Linked DNA regions of Oreochromis niloticus. The protein of the gene in region 1 binds, or shares a complex with, the protein of each later gene. Links are inferred from orthologs where the notes say so. Each region holds a gene or a part of one and is shown on either strand. Other genes may lie near its edges.

Region 1 (7,906 bases):
TTAAAAAAAAAAATAAATCTATTATCCACTGAAGCGTAAAAGAGCAAAGATGTCATATGCACGAGTCATGACAGTTCCCCCGCACCTCTTCCTATTAATCCTTTTTACTCAGTCCACCCTCTCATGGAATGAGCCACTCTTTGACTGCAATTAAAAGAAAGCAAAGCAGACTATTCTATTAGTCATGCTTGATGCTGCACCATCACACACCTGCTGATAGTGTAGATACCCACTGATAATGAATTCATCCTAATCTCACTGAGCTTCCAGCTGTAGTACAGATGCACAGCAGCCCCTGTCACAACTGCACTAACGTCAATCTTTGTCTTGTGTGTCTGTGCGATGCATGACTCACTCGCAAATGCAAGCGTGCTCAGCGGCTGCTAAAGTGTGTGTGTAGTGTATACCTTTGATTTTTGGTGCACCAGCAAACACTCGTCCAAATGAGCGAGAGTCCGATCCACCGACTTTCTGACCCGTTTGCGAGAGGCGCTGTTCTGCCAGGTCTCTCCGTCGTACATGCTCTGGTACCAGTCTGGCTGTACGGTCTTCTGAAGAGCCATGAACTTGGCCACCGTTAGTTCTATCCGCCCACCGCTGCCCCACACTGACACCGTCTAATAACAAAGCAAAAATATATGAAAAACCCATTTCACCTGTGATCACACCCAGCAGTAAAGTCACCAGGGCCTTTAGTTTACCACAGCATGAGCAATGTCACCTTGGTGGTGGTGTAACCCGTCGGGCTGGGCGTGGCAGGGTCGTGAAGGGAGCAGTAGAGGACAGTATCATGAAGACCTGAAACCAGACGTAACTGCATCACTCACAGAGAACACAGCAGCAAAGGGGTTAAGAGGGTCGAGCGTGAAGCCAGGTGACAGAGCGAGGCGCTTCGACTCTGCATGTTAATGTGACGACTGAGAGAGGAATGAGCCGTGTCCTTATCAGCAAACCCAGCCGCTGCAGAGGATCAGAAGGTGAGAAAACAAAACTGTCTAATAGCAGCAAAGGCTATTCAATCACTGCTTCTCCCTTCAGGGGCTTCAGAGGCAGAGGCAGTAGTAATCAATGATAGTTTATTCCAAGCGATGATACCGTGGTTACATGTCTAATTTTCTTAAAGTGGCTGCCTGAGGCTGGGTGAAGCCCAGGCCATGTCCACAGCAACACATTTTTGCTTTAAAATCCACAGCTTCTTCATTTACACCTACCCATCCCACCACTCTGGCATTTTAGCTTCCCTAAACGGGAGACTAAATAATTTTCAATGTATTAAAATAAAAATGCAGTTGCCATTTTTTTAAAGGTTTATATGGTTGGCAAGCATGGCACATTCACCAAAATACTGCACGTTTGTTTTCATTACTGTACTTCTAGAGGAGCTCAGACTGCGTTTATCCACACATGTCTAAATGAATGTGTTTATTATGAAGGGGGAAGCGTTACCCCCCCAAGTTTTCTAGCCACACCCATTATCAATTGAGAAATCACTTAAATAGGACCTGTATGAGAAAGTGGAGTAAAGCAAAAGAAAATACCCAAAATCATGCCATGATCCAAGAAAACTCAGGAACAAATAAAAAAATTTTTTTTATTGCAATCTATCAGTCTGGAAAAGGTTATCAAGCCATTTCTAAAGCTGTTGGACTCCAGCAAACCACAGTGCGAGACATTATCCACAAATGCTGAAAACATGGAACAGTGGTGAACCTTCCCAGAAGTGGCCGGCCGACCAAAATTAACTCAAGAGTGCAGCGACGGGGCTGCTTTGCTGCCTCAGGACCTGGAAGACTTGCTGTGGTAAACAGAACCAGGAATTCTGCCGCCTACCAAAACATCCTGAAGGAGAATGTCTGGCTATCTGTTCATGACCTCAAGCTAATCATGACCTCTCTTCTCTATATGGATTTTTTTTCTTTTGTTAACGTGTAATATGCCACCCTGGAGCTGCTCCAATCACAAATCCACTACTCTACACCCACAGGCACAGTAGTCTTCTGTGCTGTTAAATGTGTAACTGGTCAGATGTGCTAAATTAATTTATCGTGCCATAAATCTACTAAGAAACAACAATAATAATAGAGATAAATGGAAAAAGTCTGAATATCAGCTCCAATAATCAGATCGGCTGATAATCAGTCAACCCCTCTGCAACACTTCATAATCTCCATTTAGGTAAAAAAAAAAAGAAAGAAAAGAAATGATGATAGATTACCTATTAATCAATACTGAATACATATGAATACATTGGATAAGCTCTGGGTGTCATCGTAATTTATGCGTAATCAACGCTGTCTTGCTTGAACTCCTGTCGTCCTCTTCTTCTTCTGCTCTCATTACTCTCTGTAAGATAAACATGCTCAAAGGAAAGAGAGAAAGAGGGAATTCTGAAAAATGTAAATTTGTACCTGCGAATTTTCTGAATCCATCCTTAAACTCCTCCAGCACCTCCTGATGCTCAGCTCTAGAAGGAGAATGGTTGAGATGTGGGTTAGATTTGAAAAATAAAAGGAGATCACTGTGCTTGCTATGGCATTTCCATAATGAGACAGCTTACATGTGGGACAAAGTGATCTGAGTGACAGAGGGGAGGCTGATCAGCGTGTGCAGCGTGTCCTGAGTGAGGTGAGGAACGGTGCCAAAGTGTGTGTACAGCAGACACCCCGGGATCTCCAGTGAATGCTGCCCCGTCCTGCCCAGTCCCTTCAGGACACCCAGCCGACTTCTTCCCTGAACCACACGGGACAGCTCCAGTTGCATCCTGCTCCCAGCCATAGCAAAAACTCCAGTCGAAGCGCTAAAAGGACTCTCTCCAACAACTAGTACAAGTGTTACTGGTTTTGACTTAGCCACGTAGCTAGCTAGCCTTCCCACTCACACGTATTTGGAATATTTACCGCTCTAAGTCCGACACTTGGATAAAACCTACACACTCACAGGGATGATTGTTTACGTGAGAAACGCTGAAAATCAAATAGCTCACCAACAAAACCTCATGGGGTGACAGGAACTACAAGTCGCAGAAATATGTCGTCATCAGCGGCGAAGGCGCCGCAGAAAAAACAGTTCGGGTTATCTCAAGAACCTTTTTTTTCTTCTCAAAACATACAATTGTGGCGTTATAGATGGCACTCCATGTAGGAAAAGCTCTTTAAATTATAATTATATTTTAATAATTGAATTAAACATTCTAATAAATAAATATTTTACATTAAATTATTGAAAGACTTTAATTAAAAGCAAAGTATTTAACTACTTTAACTACTTTATTAATACATGTTTGTTATCTTTTTTTTAAATAGTGAATTTCAGTTCTCACTGAAGGAGCCTAACAAAATTGCTATGGTTACCCAAGACGCTGAACCCCCAGCTACAGTCTTGTGGGAAACGTAGTCCCGAAAATCTTAATTTGTGGAGCAGTTAGCCAAAAAAGAAAGCCAATTTACTCCATTACCCAGAATCCACCATAACAGTAACTCGACGAGAGTTATCTGCACCGCTTTTAGGTTTTCGAGCACTTTTTCTAATAACGTTTGAGCATATTTTGACGATAGAAACTGAAAAATGTTGACTGTTGCGCTTCGCGCACGATTTTAGTAAAGAAAAGACACCAATGTGATAGCTGGGATTACATCATATTAACGTGCAGTGCTGTAACAGGTGATGATGGCATTTCCAGGTCACAATCCTGACCTGTTTAGGTGGAGAAGAGTTGGCTCGGCAAACAAGGTAAGTCTAGTCTTTGGATTCGTGTAAATTTATAGACTGTGCTAAACTGAACGCTATGCTGCATCTGTCACGATTGGTTGGACTTCATTTTCCAAAAAAAAAAAAAAGGTAGGGGAATGAAACTGTGGCTTCACTGTTCCAGAAAATGAATCCGATGAGCTCATTTCAACCCTTTCTCTTATCTAAATGGGAAAAAAGGTATTTTTAGTCTATTTTCACCTTCCAAACCTTTCCCCAGTAATATCCCTGAGAGAGGGAAATAATTTGGCTAAATGCGCCTTGAAGGAAGAAGAAAAGGCACATCTGTGTTATTACCGTGTATAAACTCGTGGCTCATGTCAGGGGACCTTTCAGAAATGTCACCCGGCCCTATCTCTGATACTCACATGCTTGCAGGCAGCTAGCAATGGCACAGACTTTTGGACGTGTGAGAAATGATTTTGAACTAATCTGCTGATTTGAAGCAGTGGCTTAGCTTTTCTGTGAAATAATCCGCAGACTTTAGGCCCTTGGCTCAGCCTCCAATTTGCAGACTGCCACCGCAACTCAAGGTGTCTCTGAGCCTGTCTAGGCATTTTTAAGCACTCAAAGGTGACCATGAGGCCAGCATTTTTTTGTGTGTGAGAGCTCTTTGGTGTTTCTTACAGAGAATATTAGCTTACACTAATCTTTCTTTCAGATTCATGTAAAGAAAGGTGATATTGATCAATGGAAGAAGGTAAGAAATGTGTGTGCTCAGTTATATATATGTTTTTTATTTATTATTGAGTTGAATGTCTTTGGGGGTTTGGGAATTGTGTAACTTCAGCTTTTCATGTGTGTGTCCTTTCCCTGTCCTTAGCGAGTGGAGAAGGCCTCAGAGTTTGCTGTGTCGGAAGTCTTCTCCCACAAAAAACCTCATTCAGGAATCAGCAGCCTAGTTGTACCATTGCAAAGCACTGAACAGCTGAGAGATCATGACGAGGCTTACAGCGAAGGTAGGTGCCTTTAAAAAAAATTAATAGACCTGTCTGTGTAGAAATGCTATCTATATAACCACATAGAGTACAGCAAGAGGGATGATGATATATGGCCTGTTGTTTGTTGCAGCTCAGGCCCTTTTAGGTGACTGGCTGAGTAATAAGCTGCGGCTGGAGTTGGAGTTGGAGGATGAAGATGACCTGATGTGCTCTGCTGAGAGGACAGGCACAGCTGCATCAGCTAGTGCTGTGCCTGCTGCTTTAAACTACAACAACTTTGATGGTATAAAATATTACCTGATGAGATAACCCAAAACTCATTATTTATTAAGACCTTCTCCATTAGACCTGTGGGCCTGATGGACGAGGTGGTACAGAACACCTTTAAAGAAACAGTGACCTCTAGAAGATTTACTCATGATTATGGAAGGCTCATTCAAAATTCAGTGTGGGTTTTATATTGCTTCAAATGGCCTCTGACTGCTAGGCTTTATAAGAGTATTCAAAACAATCAGTATACAGTACCGTGCAAAGGTCTCAGGCCACCGCTCATTTATTTTTATTATTAAGAACCATACTTTCTTGTAGTTTCTTCACCAATAGTTCTCCAGGTCTCAATGTTTTTCTATATAAAGGTATATCAAAGTACACTAGAACTGGACTGAAAATCAGTGGCAACAGGTTTGATGGAGTGATGACTCCAAGTTTGAAAATTTTGTTTCAAATCATCAAAATATATTGAGGAGGTGCAACATTTATGTGTTAAACATGTTTTATGCTCTGTCGTGATTTGGGGCTGTATTTCACCAGTGGTGTTAGGGGTCTTGTAAAAATTGATGGAATTATGACCTCAGAAAAATAGGATCAAATTTTGATCCACCATTGCAACGCCAGCTGTAATGCATCTGACTGGCAGCATAATTTTTTATTATGATCTCAAACACACAGCCAATGCAGTGAAATCCTACCTGGATAGAAAAACACACAATGGAACATTGTCAGTCATGGATTGGCCTCCCCAGAGCATGGATCTCAACATTATTGAGGCAGCGTGAGATCATCTTCACAGAGAACAGAAGAAAAGGTAGCCAGCATCTAAAGAAGAGCTTTGACTGTCTTTTAAGAAACCTGGAGAGCTATTCCTGAACACTACTTTAAGAAATTAGAAGAAAACTGCCTAACAGAGTTCAGGCTGTGTTGACGAATCAAGGTGTTCGTACCAAATATCGACTTTCAAGCATTCAGTTCATTAGAATTGTACAAACTGTTTTTGCCTTTTACACTGCATTTCCATGTATGTTTGCACATTTTATAATAAATTAATTCACATTTCCTGCAAAATATAAAGAAAATATAAAGGTGGCTGAAGACTTTTGCACAGTACTATTTCAGTCTGCATTACAGTACAAAATGTTGCCTGACTTGGCCATCACACCATTAATCTTACAAGTATTGTGCAAGGAATTAAAAGCACTGGTTTCCAAGATACAGGGAGTGCAGAATTATTAGGCAAGTTGTATTTTTGAGGAATAATTTTATTATTGAACAACAACCATGTTCTCAATGAACCCAAAAAACTCATTAATATCAAAGCTGAATGTTTTTGGAAGTAGTTTTTAGTTTGTTTTTAGTTTTAGCTATTTTAGGGGGATATCTGTGTGTGCAGGTGACTATTACTGTGCATAATTATTAGGCAACTTAACAAAAAGCAAATATATACCCATTTCAATTATTTATTTTTACCAGTGAAACCAATATAACATCTCCACATTCACAAATATACATTTCTGACATTCAAAAACAAAACAAAAACAAATCAGCGACCAATATAGCCACCTTTCTTTGCAAGGACACTCAAAAGCCTGCCATCCATGGATTCTGTCAGTGTTTTGATCTGTTCACCATCAACATTGCGTGCAGCAGCAACCACAGCCTCCCAGACACTGTTCAGAGAGGTGTACTGTTTTCCCTCCTTGTAAATCTCACATTTGATGATGGACCACAGGTTCTCAATGGGGTTCAGATCAGGTGAACAAGGAGGCCATGTCATTAGTTTTTCTTCTTTTATACCCTTTCTTGCCAGCCACGCTGTGGAGTACTTGGACGCGTGTGATGGAGCATTGTCCTGCATGAAAATCATGTTTTTCTTGAAGGATGCAGACTTCTTCCTGTACCACTGCTTGAAGAAGGTATCTTCCAGAAACTGGCAGTAGGACTGGGAGTTGAGCTCGACTCCATCCTCAACCCGAAAAGGCCCCACAAGCTCATCTTTGATGATACCAGCCCAAACCAGTACTCCACCTCCACCTTGCTGGCGTCTGAGTCGGACTGGAGCTCTCTGCCCTTTACCAATCCAGCCACGGGCCCATCCATCTGGCCCATCACGACTCACTCTCATTTCATCGGTCCATAAAACCTTAGAAAAATCAGTCTTGAGATATTTCTTGGCCCAGTCTTGACGTTTCAGCTTGTGTGTCTTGTTCAGTGGTGGTGTTAAATGAATGGTAAATGGACTGATTCTTATATAGCGCTTTTCTACTCTCCCGGAGTACTCAAAGCGCTCTATACAACATGCCTCATTCACCCAGACACACCCACTCACACAAGCACTTCTAAGCTCAAGTGCAACTAATAAGCATTCACACACAGATGAACACATCGGAAGGCAATTTGGGGTTAGTATCTTGCCCAAGGATATTTGGCATGCAGACTGGAGGAGCCAGGAATCGAACCACCAACCTTCCAATCAGTAGCTGATCTGCTCTACCACCTGAGCCACAGCCACCCCAGTGTTGACTATTTTGAATGAAACGCTTGATTGTTCGATGATCACGCTTCAGAAGCTTTGCAATTTTAAGACTGCTGCATCCCTCTGCAAGATATCTCACTATTTTTGACTTTTCTGAGGCTGTCAAGTCCTTCTTTTGACCCATTTTGCCAAAGGAAAGGAAGTTGCCTAATAATTATGCACACCTGATATAGGGTGTTGATGTCATTAGACCACACCCCTTCTCATTACAGAGATGCACATCACCTAATATGCTTAATTGGTAGTAGGCTTTCGAGCCTATACAGCTTGGAGTAAGACAACATGCATGAAGAGGATGATGTGGACAAAATACTCATTTGCCTAATAATTCTGCACTCCCTGTGGAAGGAAATCAATATTAAAGCTCGAAATGTTGAAAAATGGTCATCAATAATGTGAAGCACAGTCT
Region 2 (6,981 bases), on another chromosome or scaffold:
CAAGGCGCTTTATATTGTAAGGTAGACCCTACAATATTACATACAGAGAAAAACCCAACAATCATATGACCCCCTATGAGTAAGCACTTTGGAGACAGTGGGAAGGAAAAACTCCCTTTTAACAGGAAGAAACCTCCAGCAGAACCAGGCTCAGGAGGTAAACAACCAGGTTACCATGATGGATTTCAGTGAAACCAGTAAACATACCCTACACCCATGAGATAGCGGGGCTTTTCCCGAGGCAGGTGATCAGTGCTTAGTGTCACCATCCGCCAGAAGTCATCCTTCTCTTCTCCTCCACTCAGTCCACCAATGGCAAAACCAGGAACGTCACGCTTAGTCATTTCTACAGGAAGACAAAACAATATCTTAAGTGAAAGTCTGATCCTTTATCTTGAATTCTGATGTCCTTTCCAAACTGCATGGCCCTTTAAATAACTCGGATTAGTTCCTCACCACGCCCTGATATCTTTGATTCACATATGCTTCCTCAATAGACTGAACCATGTAAACTTTCTAGTTAATGCTGCCACTTTTCCACTTACTGAAATAAGTGTAAAAGGAAAAAGGGATCAAGGCATTTTAGCATGTTTTCATCCTCCATAAATAAGATGGAAAAATGATGAAATTATTCAGCTTGATTTTCAATATCGGTACATGAAGAAAAAGAAAAAGCAAGATTAGTTACTGGAGACCCACTCATGTTAATTGCCTGTTAATTTTGACCAGTATCAGCACATAATAGATCTAGTGGTCATCAGCATACAGTCATGTAAGTCCATGGAAAAAAAAGAAAGAAAATCCAGTAAGTGCCTCCCACCTGAGCTCCTTAGAAGCAACAAATTTCCTTGTAAAAAAAAAAAAAAAAACAACAAAAACTTGGTATGTGTTATGAAGCTATTCCAAAAAAAATGTTTTCCCAGTTTTTAGGCTCTTAAAGTAAATATTGGTGGATACACAGATTTTTTAAGACGTTAGAAAATTTGACAAAGAATAAATCACGGCTATAAAATGGTATCAAATGTAGGTAAATGTATTTACTGTAACTTGTTTTGACCAGACACCCATCTCATGTAATAATATAACCCTGTGCAGTTTACAAAAATGTGCTTTTTGATGTTTTCTCCAGTGAATTATTAGAAAACACATAAAAAACCCAGGGTTACCAAGATTAACTTGTAAACTGGGGACACTGTGGTGTTGAAACGGTTATGTCTCTCTGATATTGATGCTCAAAAGCAGGTTATAAAAAAACAAAAAAACAAGCTGAAAAAAGATGAGATTTGATTTTGACTTCTGACATTTGAATGGGTGTAAAATTGATTTTTTTAAAACACAGCCCAAGTGTGTTTTTTCAGCCCGGAGAATTTAATGTGACTATATTCTGCATTTAAGTTATTTCAGCTCTAAAATGCTGGAAAAATACAGTGAATAGTGCCACAAAAAGTGCCAAATTTTAGCTCACCCCACGTATGTCTAATATGGCTTTTTTTTTTTTTATTCGAGAAGCTGTTACTCAGCACATATCCTCTGCAGCACATGTAGCAGAGGGCACATCAGCTGAGCAGACAGTGGTGAGGATGCATCAGCATCTTCACATTTCACTGATAGTTTGTGATAAACAAAACTAATAATTCCCCCACTTTAACCTAACTAACATACTGTCTGAATATATAAGATAGTACCATCAAAAAGCAAGAACATTTCCCTGTGTGCTTTTCTTCCAGCATGCCTGCCAATTTTAGATCAATCTGATCCCAAACGGGGGATCTTAAAGGACTTAACAGTCAAATTTCAGCCTTTATATCAATGTGTGTTTGTAAAGCACATCAGCCAAAATATATTTATCATTAAAGGAATCTCAGTGTAAGCATCAGCCTCTGTTTGTTTTTTACCATCTAGACAGGCCTTGCGCAGCTCTGCATTCAATCCTCCCTGAATGATGGCAAAGAGGTTTTGTTTGTCTCGATTTTTATTGGCTGCTATGCAGCGGTCCAGCCAGCGAACGGATCTATGCATGGCCTCTTCTACCCGTGGTCCTGTCACAGTACTGCTGACCACGTCATCCAGCTGCATCATGATGTCTGACCCTGGAAGAACACAAAGAAACATGAAGGTGCTGTCCGTCAGCCACAGAAATACTGACAAAAGCTCAGAGTATCTGATGGTTAACGCTGAGTCAGTTATTTTACTCCTTGCTGACCCAGACTGTTCTGTATGCTGATAGACTTCTCAGGACTTAGTAAGATTTCTTTGCAGTCGTAGGGGGACCTGAACTTGACTCCTTCCTCCGTAACTTCGGAGAGCTCGACGAGAGACACCATCTGAAACCCCCCACTGTCCTGTGAGCAAAGAAAAAGAAACGCGTGGTTTTTAAGACAAAGATTTCCAGCCACGTGTTGTACTTTTATTTGTCACCCACGTATGACAAATAAAATGTGAAGTTAAACTCACAGTTAAAAGATTTCTCTTCCAGTTCATGAACCCATGCAAACCATTGGCTTTCTCAATCAAATCAGGACCCTTTAGGCAGCAGAAAAGACATTTACACAAGAAAACTGACATGAAATCGTCAACAAATGGTTTATGCCCAGTAAAACACGAGATAAAAATTAAATTTGCGTTATAGCAAACCTGCATACCGGTCTCATTCCAAGGTGGTATGTGTTTCCAAGGCAAATCTGACATCCCAGATCTTCCAGCTGATCCACAGTGATTCCCTTCAGGGTCCCCTGAGTCCCGACGGGCATGAAAACCGGGGTACTGACGGTGCTATGAGGCAGTATTAAATCACAGGCTCTCGCTTTAGTTACTGGGCATTCAGCAACAATTCGCAGAGAGAGAGGAGACAAAGCTTTCTTTAGGGACATGTTGTTCTCTATAGTTTCTGTATTAGCTCCACACTCTATGGGGGCAGCCATGTTTTACTGATCACGTGACATGAACGGACCTCCAACTGACAATCGTGACGACCAATTAAAAATTAATTATGTGATTTGAGCCTTAAGACGTCCAATCAAAACGAATTTTGGTGAAGCGGCAGCAACATTAGCCAACAAACCGCTTTTATTTGTGCAAAAGAGGCGGGGCTATAGTAACCGGCACCGATAGGATGTCATCTTCTGTGACCGGATGGTGTTTGTGTAGAGGAAGTTTTGCTTGCGAGTTTTCCGTCCGTTTCGACTGTCTGGGTATTTAGTTGAGGGGTTTTGTTATTATATGATATGATATTGGTGTGAACTGCATTACTGGGAAGCGCACAAGTATTCAAAAAGTGAATAAAAGCCCGAGCTGAAGAGGCGGGGTTTTAGCACTTCAGAGTAACCCGAGAGCACCTTGCTGCTAAGCTAACGTTACTGAGCTCGCTAGCGCGGCTAGCATTAGCCTCCGGTCTGTGTTGAATTGAAGGGGCTCTTCAAGCTCACGAAGCCATGGGGAACCGGGGCATGGAAGACCTGATTCCCCTCATCAACAAGCTTCAAGACGCATTCAGCTCCATTGGCCAGAGTTGTAATTTAGACCTTCCTCAAATCGCGGTGGTCGGTGGACAGAGCGCTGGAAAAAGCTCGGTCTTGGAGAATTTCGTTGGCAGGTAAGTGATAATAGTTAAATGAGCTAGTGAAGTGTTACGCCCTTCTAACAGGCCATGCTTGGTCGTACGTTGTCAAACAGCCCTTTTTTTTGGTCTGGGAGGTACGGTACTTTTGGAAATGCCAGTCGCATAAAGCTAAGCTAACGTCACTTTCCCAGTACGTAACGTCAATATTGATTTACGCACTTGCGCTGTAGCTTCAGCAATTTAAGATACAGTGTTCTTGTGTATTTATGTAGTGTGATATTTGTGTTACGAGCTTAAAAAGAAGCTTACTTGGGCTTTTTCTCTCTTTTCTTTACTTCTTACAATTTTTTTTTTTTCAACTCGATTAGATCACCAACTCTTGTCTTACATTTGCTGATAAGTTCGTTTGTCCTGCCTAGTATTTTTCTAATATGATTAAAGGCTTGTTCTGGGTTGCCGTTTTTTCAATAGACCTTAGTGCACGTAATCTTTCCTACAATCTAGCTCAATGGGCTTTTCCCCCTTTTGTTCTCATATTGATAACTACAGGCCACACCCTGAGAGTCCTACAGAATTTACATTACCAACAATTTTAAAAGCTGGAGGGATGACTGTTTGTTTTACAAGGGAGGGAGTTTTATTGGGTCGTAACTGGCAAGGTGTATGGGGTAAGGGGGTATCGCAGTGTAGACAGAAAGTCACCTACTTGTATTTTTACAGCTGCTTATTGCATTTTGACACAAAACTTTGACCTCAAAGCAGACTGTCTCTCTTTACAGTACTGACATTTCCTCAACATGTTTCTGTAGCAGACATAACTTCCTTTACCATCTTCCTCTTTTGTTTCTGTTTTTGGCCAGCGTTTAGAAATTACGGAAACAGACTTGACATCACTGTTTTTTGAGATGCATTGCTTATAATCTACCGTCCTCCTTACCATACTGGCTCTATCATTGTCATCAGGCTGGTCTTGTTGTTGTCTCCTGCAACAGCAATGAGTGAGATCACCCTGAAGTAAAAAGAAACATAACAAGTTTGCTCTGTAGTAGCTTGTTTAACAGGATTCCACCTCCTTTGAGAGACAATCAGTGTGTAGCCCAACCCACACACATATGCAGGCTGGTCGGCAGACTGGAGAAGGCACATTGGCTATCAAGATGACATGCACATAGGCTTTTGGTTATAAAGACGGAAACAAGAGCATGTTGTAACTACTCTCGGGCAAGAACATGCATGCAGATTAGACTTCCACTCAGTGTGCAGTAATTCGGATGAGTGGGACTTTGTCCTGGGAGAGCACTCGACACAAATCGGCAGCAATTAACTTGAGACATTTCATGGTGACCTTGATTTGCTATCGTGCTGGTTTTCCACTTTATGCGTGTTTACAGGGCAAACATAAATCCACGTGCTGACAAATTATTTTAGCATTGTAGGCTGTTCACTTTCATGTACCTTTCATAAGGTGTGTTTAATATAGAAAAGAACAGCATTTACTCTGTTTGCATGTTGATGCTGTGCGGGTGAATTTAATGAGGGCTGACAAGGTGAAACAGTCTTACTTCAACCTTGAAGCATGGATCTTGGAATTTGTTCCCTCCATTGGGCATTTTGACATGTAACAGCTGTTTCTTGATTTTTAAAATGACACCTAAAAACACAACCATGTGAGGACTAATGATTATCCAATTAGTGCTATGTACAGGATTAGTGCCACTGTGAGCCACACACCACAATTGGGATGCTAACGCTGGGTTGTTTTTGGCACCTGTGAGGCATGGCTACTGGAAACAAATGGAGGAACATGTTGAATTGTTTTTTAACTTCACTTGTAAAACCCTTGCTAAACCTGTATGTTGGCAAAGCTACGTATAGGTGTCCTGAGATTCAGACAGATCAGTGGTCTCCAGTGATTGATTTGGGGAAAAATTTAATTTCCTTCTGCTGTGCAGATCATTTAGAGTAGTAAAATAAGTCAGGCTAGGCACACTTTAGGAGTTGCTGTACACTGCTAAAGTGATAGGCAAACTCATGAGTCATTGTTGACTAAAAGGTTTGTTTGAACCGATACCTAAACTTTGTACCATGTGTTCTGCTCAATTTTTTTATTTTTTTTTTTATTCAAAGCAGATGAAAATGGTGCGTGTTATGATGTTGTGGAAAACTTCATTTGCAATTCTCTGTGGTTACGCCATTTTTTGTTGTTGTTCTCTTTTCTTTTCACCATGAGTACTGAGCTTCTGTTACACTCGGTAATGGCTGCTCTGTAATTTCCCCAGTGACTGAGGTCTTTTCTTTGGTGAGGTGCATGTTGTGTGTAAAAGGCTGGCTTCATCTCTGTGTCCTATGGGATGAAAATAATCCCTCTGTTTTCTTTTTTTTTTTTTTTACCTTTTGACGTACCAGCAACAATAGAAACAGTGTCACTTATTGCTGGGAAAACAACTGGGACAATGGAGTGATGATTCTGCCACAGACAGTAAAAGCTGCTCGCTTTCTCTCTCTCACCTGGACTTCATGCTGATGTCATGATCCACAGGTGCCAAGTGACCTCACCGCCTCACTGTTAATTTGGCAAATGTTTGACTGCCACAAAAAGCATGTCGGATGCGGCTTGGTTTCTGCTTCAGATTTCCTGGTTTCATTGGAGAGGGGAAAAGTTGGGGAGGTTTTGGGATCATGTGACCTAACTTGCTATTCTTTTGGCCTCTGCTTTCAACAGCGTTAGTGTGGAAGACAAATATGTTTTGCGTGGTTGATCCACATTCTTGCTGGGCAGAAGTTAGTTTAATAAATTAGTTTGTGTTTCAGTCTGTTGGTACGCATCTAATCTTATTACATTATCCACCCAGCCAACTTAATGAGTGACCTCAGGTTTTACTGCAACACTGAACACTGACTTGATCGACTAAATAAATATTTATAATAGTCTGTATTGCTTTGAGTTAACTTACTGGTCCTTACCAGAAGATATACTAAGATATTACGAAGAAAAAAGTAATCTGTGTAGTTAAGAACTATCTTGAATAATAAGCAAATTTTCTTTCTGTGTGTGTTACTCTACTGAAATATTTATGGACCAGTGCAAGTATTTTAAGTTCAGAGATGCTGATTACACCCATGTCTCTGTTTTGGCTTTGGTGTGTTGTAATTTCATTGTGTCAGTTGGGAGCAAAGACGTCATATCTTGTAGTGCAAGCTGGCCTGGGTGGAGGTTATTATCAGATCTGTAGCAACTACACTGCAAAAGCAGACATTTTTTTGAAGTGTTTGATCAGTTAAGTTTAAAGGGGACCTATTATGCTCACTGGAATAGAGTGGCTTTGTTGTTATCTCCTTTTGTGCAGCTCTTCAATTCAGCCGCTGTCTGAAACAAGCTATTTTAGCTCTATCTTCAAGGACTTCCTTCCTTTGAACTGACT

Evidence for each region. The genes of interacting proteins can lie anywhere in the genome.
Region 2: the proteins of qtrt2 (region 1) and qtrt1 are in contact, whole or in part, in a crystal structure (PDB 7OVS), measured with the Mus musculus proteins. The link is inferred for Oreochromis niloticus from reciprocal best matches to the Homo sapiens genes QTRT2 and QTRT1. Residues at the interface, in NP_001343258.1 of Mus musculus: Arg39, Thr40, Gly41, Ser42, Ala43, Pro44, His45, Leu46, Thr47, His48, Gln49, Thr50, Asn53, Glu70, His71, Glu73, Val74, Glu77, Tyr78, Phe85, Ile86, Gly87, Phe119, Gln342, Glu343, Phe345, Tyr355, Asn359, His360, Ala363; in NP_068688.2 of Mus musculus: Thr50, Thr53, Met54, Lys55, Gly56, Ile57, Thr58, Thr59, Glu60, Gln61, Ser64, Arg80, Pro81, Leu85, Lys88, Ala89, Phe95, Met96, Asn97, Ala307, Lys308, Phe310, Pro320, Thr324, His325, Ala328, Phe329, Ala332, Leu333, His335.

The regions. Positions count from the first base shown.
Region 1 is NC_031974.2:18,640,305-18,648,210, forward strand, and holds the start of qtrt2 (queuine tRNA-ribosyltransferase accessory subunit 2), read right to left. Parts: upstream 3,014-7,906; 5' UTR 2,776-3,013; coding exon 2,558-2,775; intron 2,465-2,557; coding exon 2,409-2,464; intron 799-2,408; coding exon 722-798; intron 618-721; coding exon 408-617; intron 1-407. Other genes in the region: ccdc191 (coiled-coil domain-containing protein 191), read left to right, coding at 3,664-3,729, 4,409-4,447, 4,571-4,706, 4,819-4,971. UniProt on the Homo sapiens protein: Non-catalytic subunit of the queuine tRNA-ribosyltransferase (TGT) that catalyzes the base-exchange of a guanine (G) residue with queuine (Q) at position 34 (anticodon wobble position) in tRNAs with GU(N) anticodons (tRNA-Asp, -Asn, -His and -Tyr), resulting in the hypermodified nucleoside queuosine (7-(((4,5-cis-dihydroxy-2-cyclopenten-1-yl)amino)methyl)-7-deazaguanosine).
Region 2 is NC_031969.2:22,907,242-22,914,222, forward strand, and holds the start of qtrt1 (queuine tRNA-ribosyltransferase catalytic subunit 1), read right to left. Parts: upstream 3,007-6,981; 5' UTR 2,922-3,006; coding exon 2,643-2,921; intron 2,524-2,642; coding exon 2,455-2,523; intron 2,343-2,454; coding exon 2,204-2,342; intron 2,091-2,203; coding exon 1,896-2,090; intron 347-1,895; coding exon 208-346; intron 1-207. Other genes in the region: dnm2a (dynamin-2), read left to right, coding at 3,432-3,592.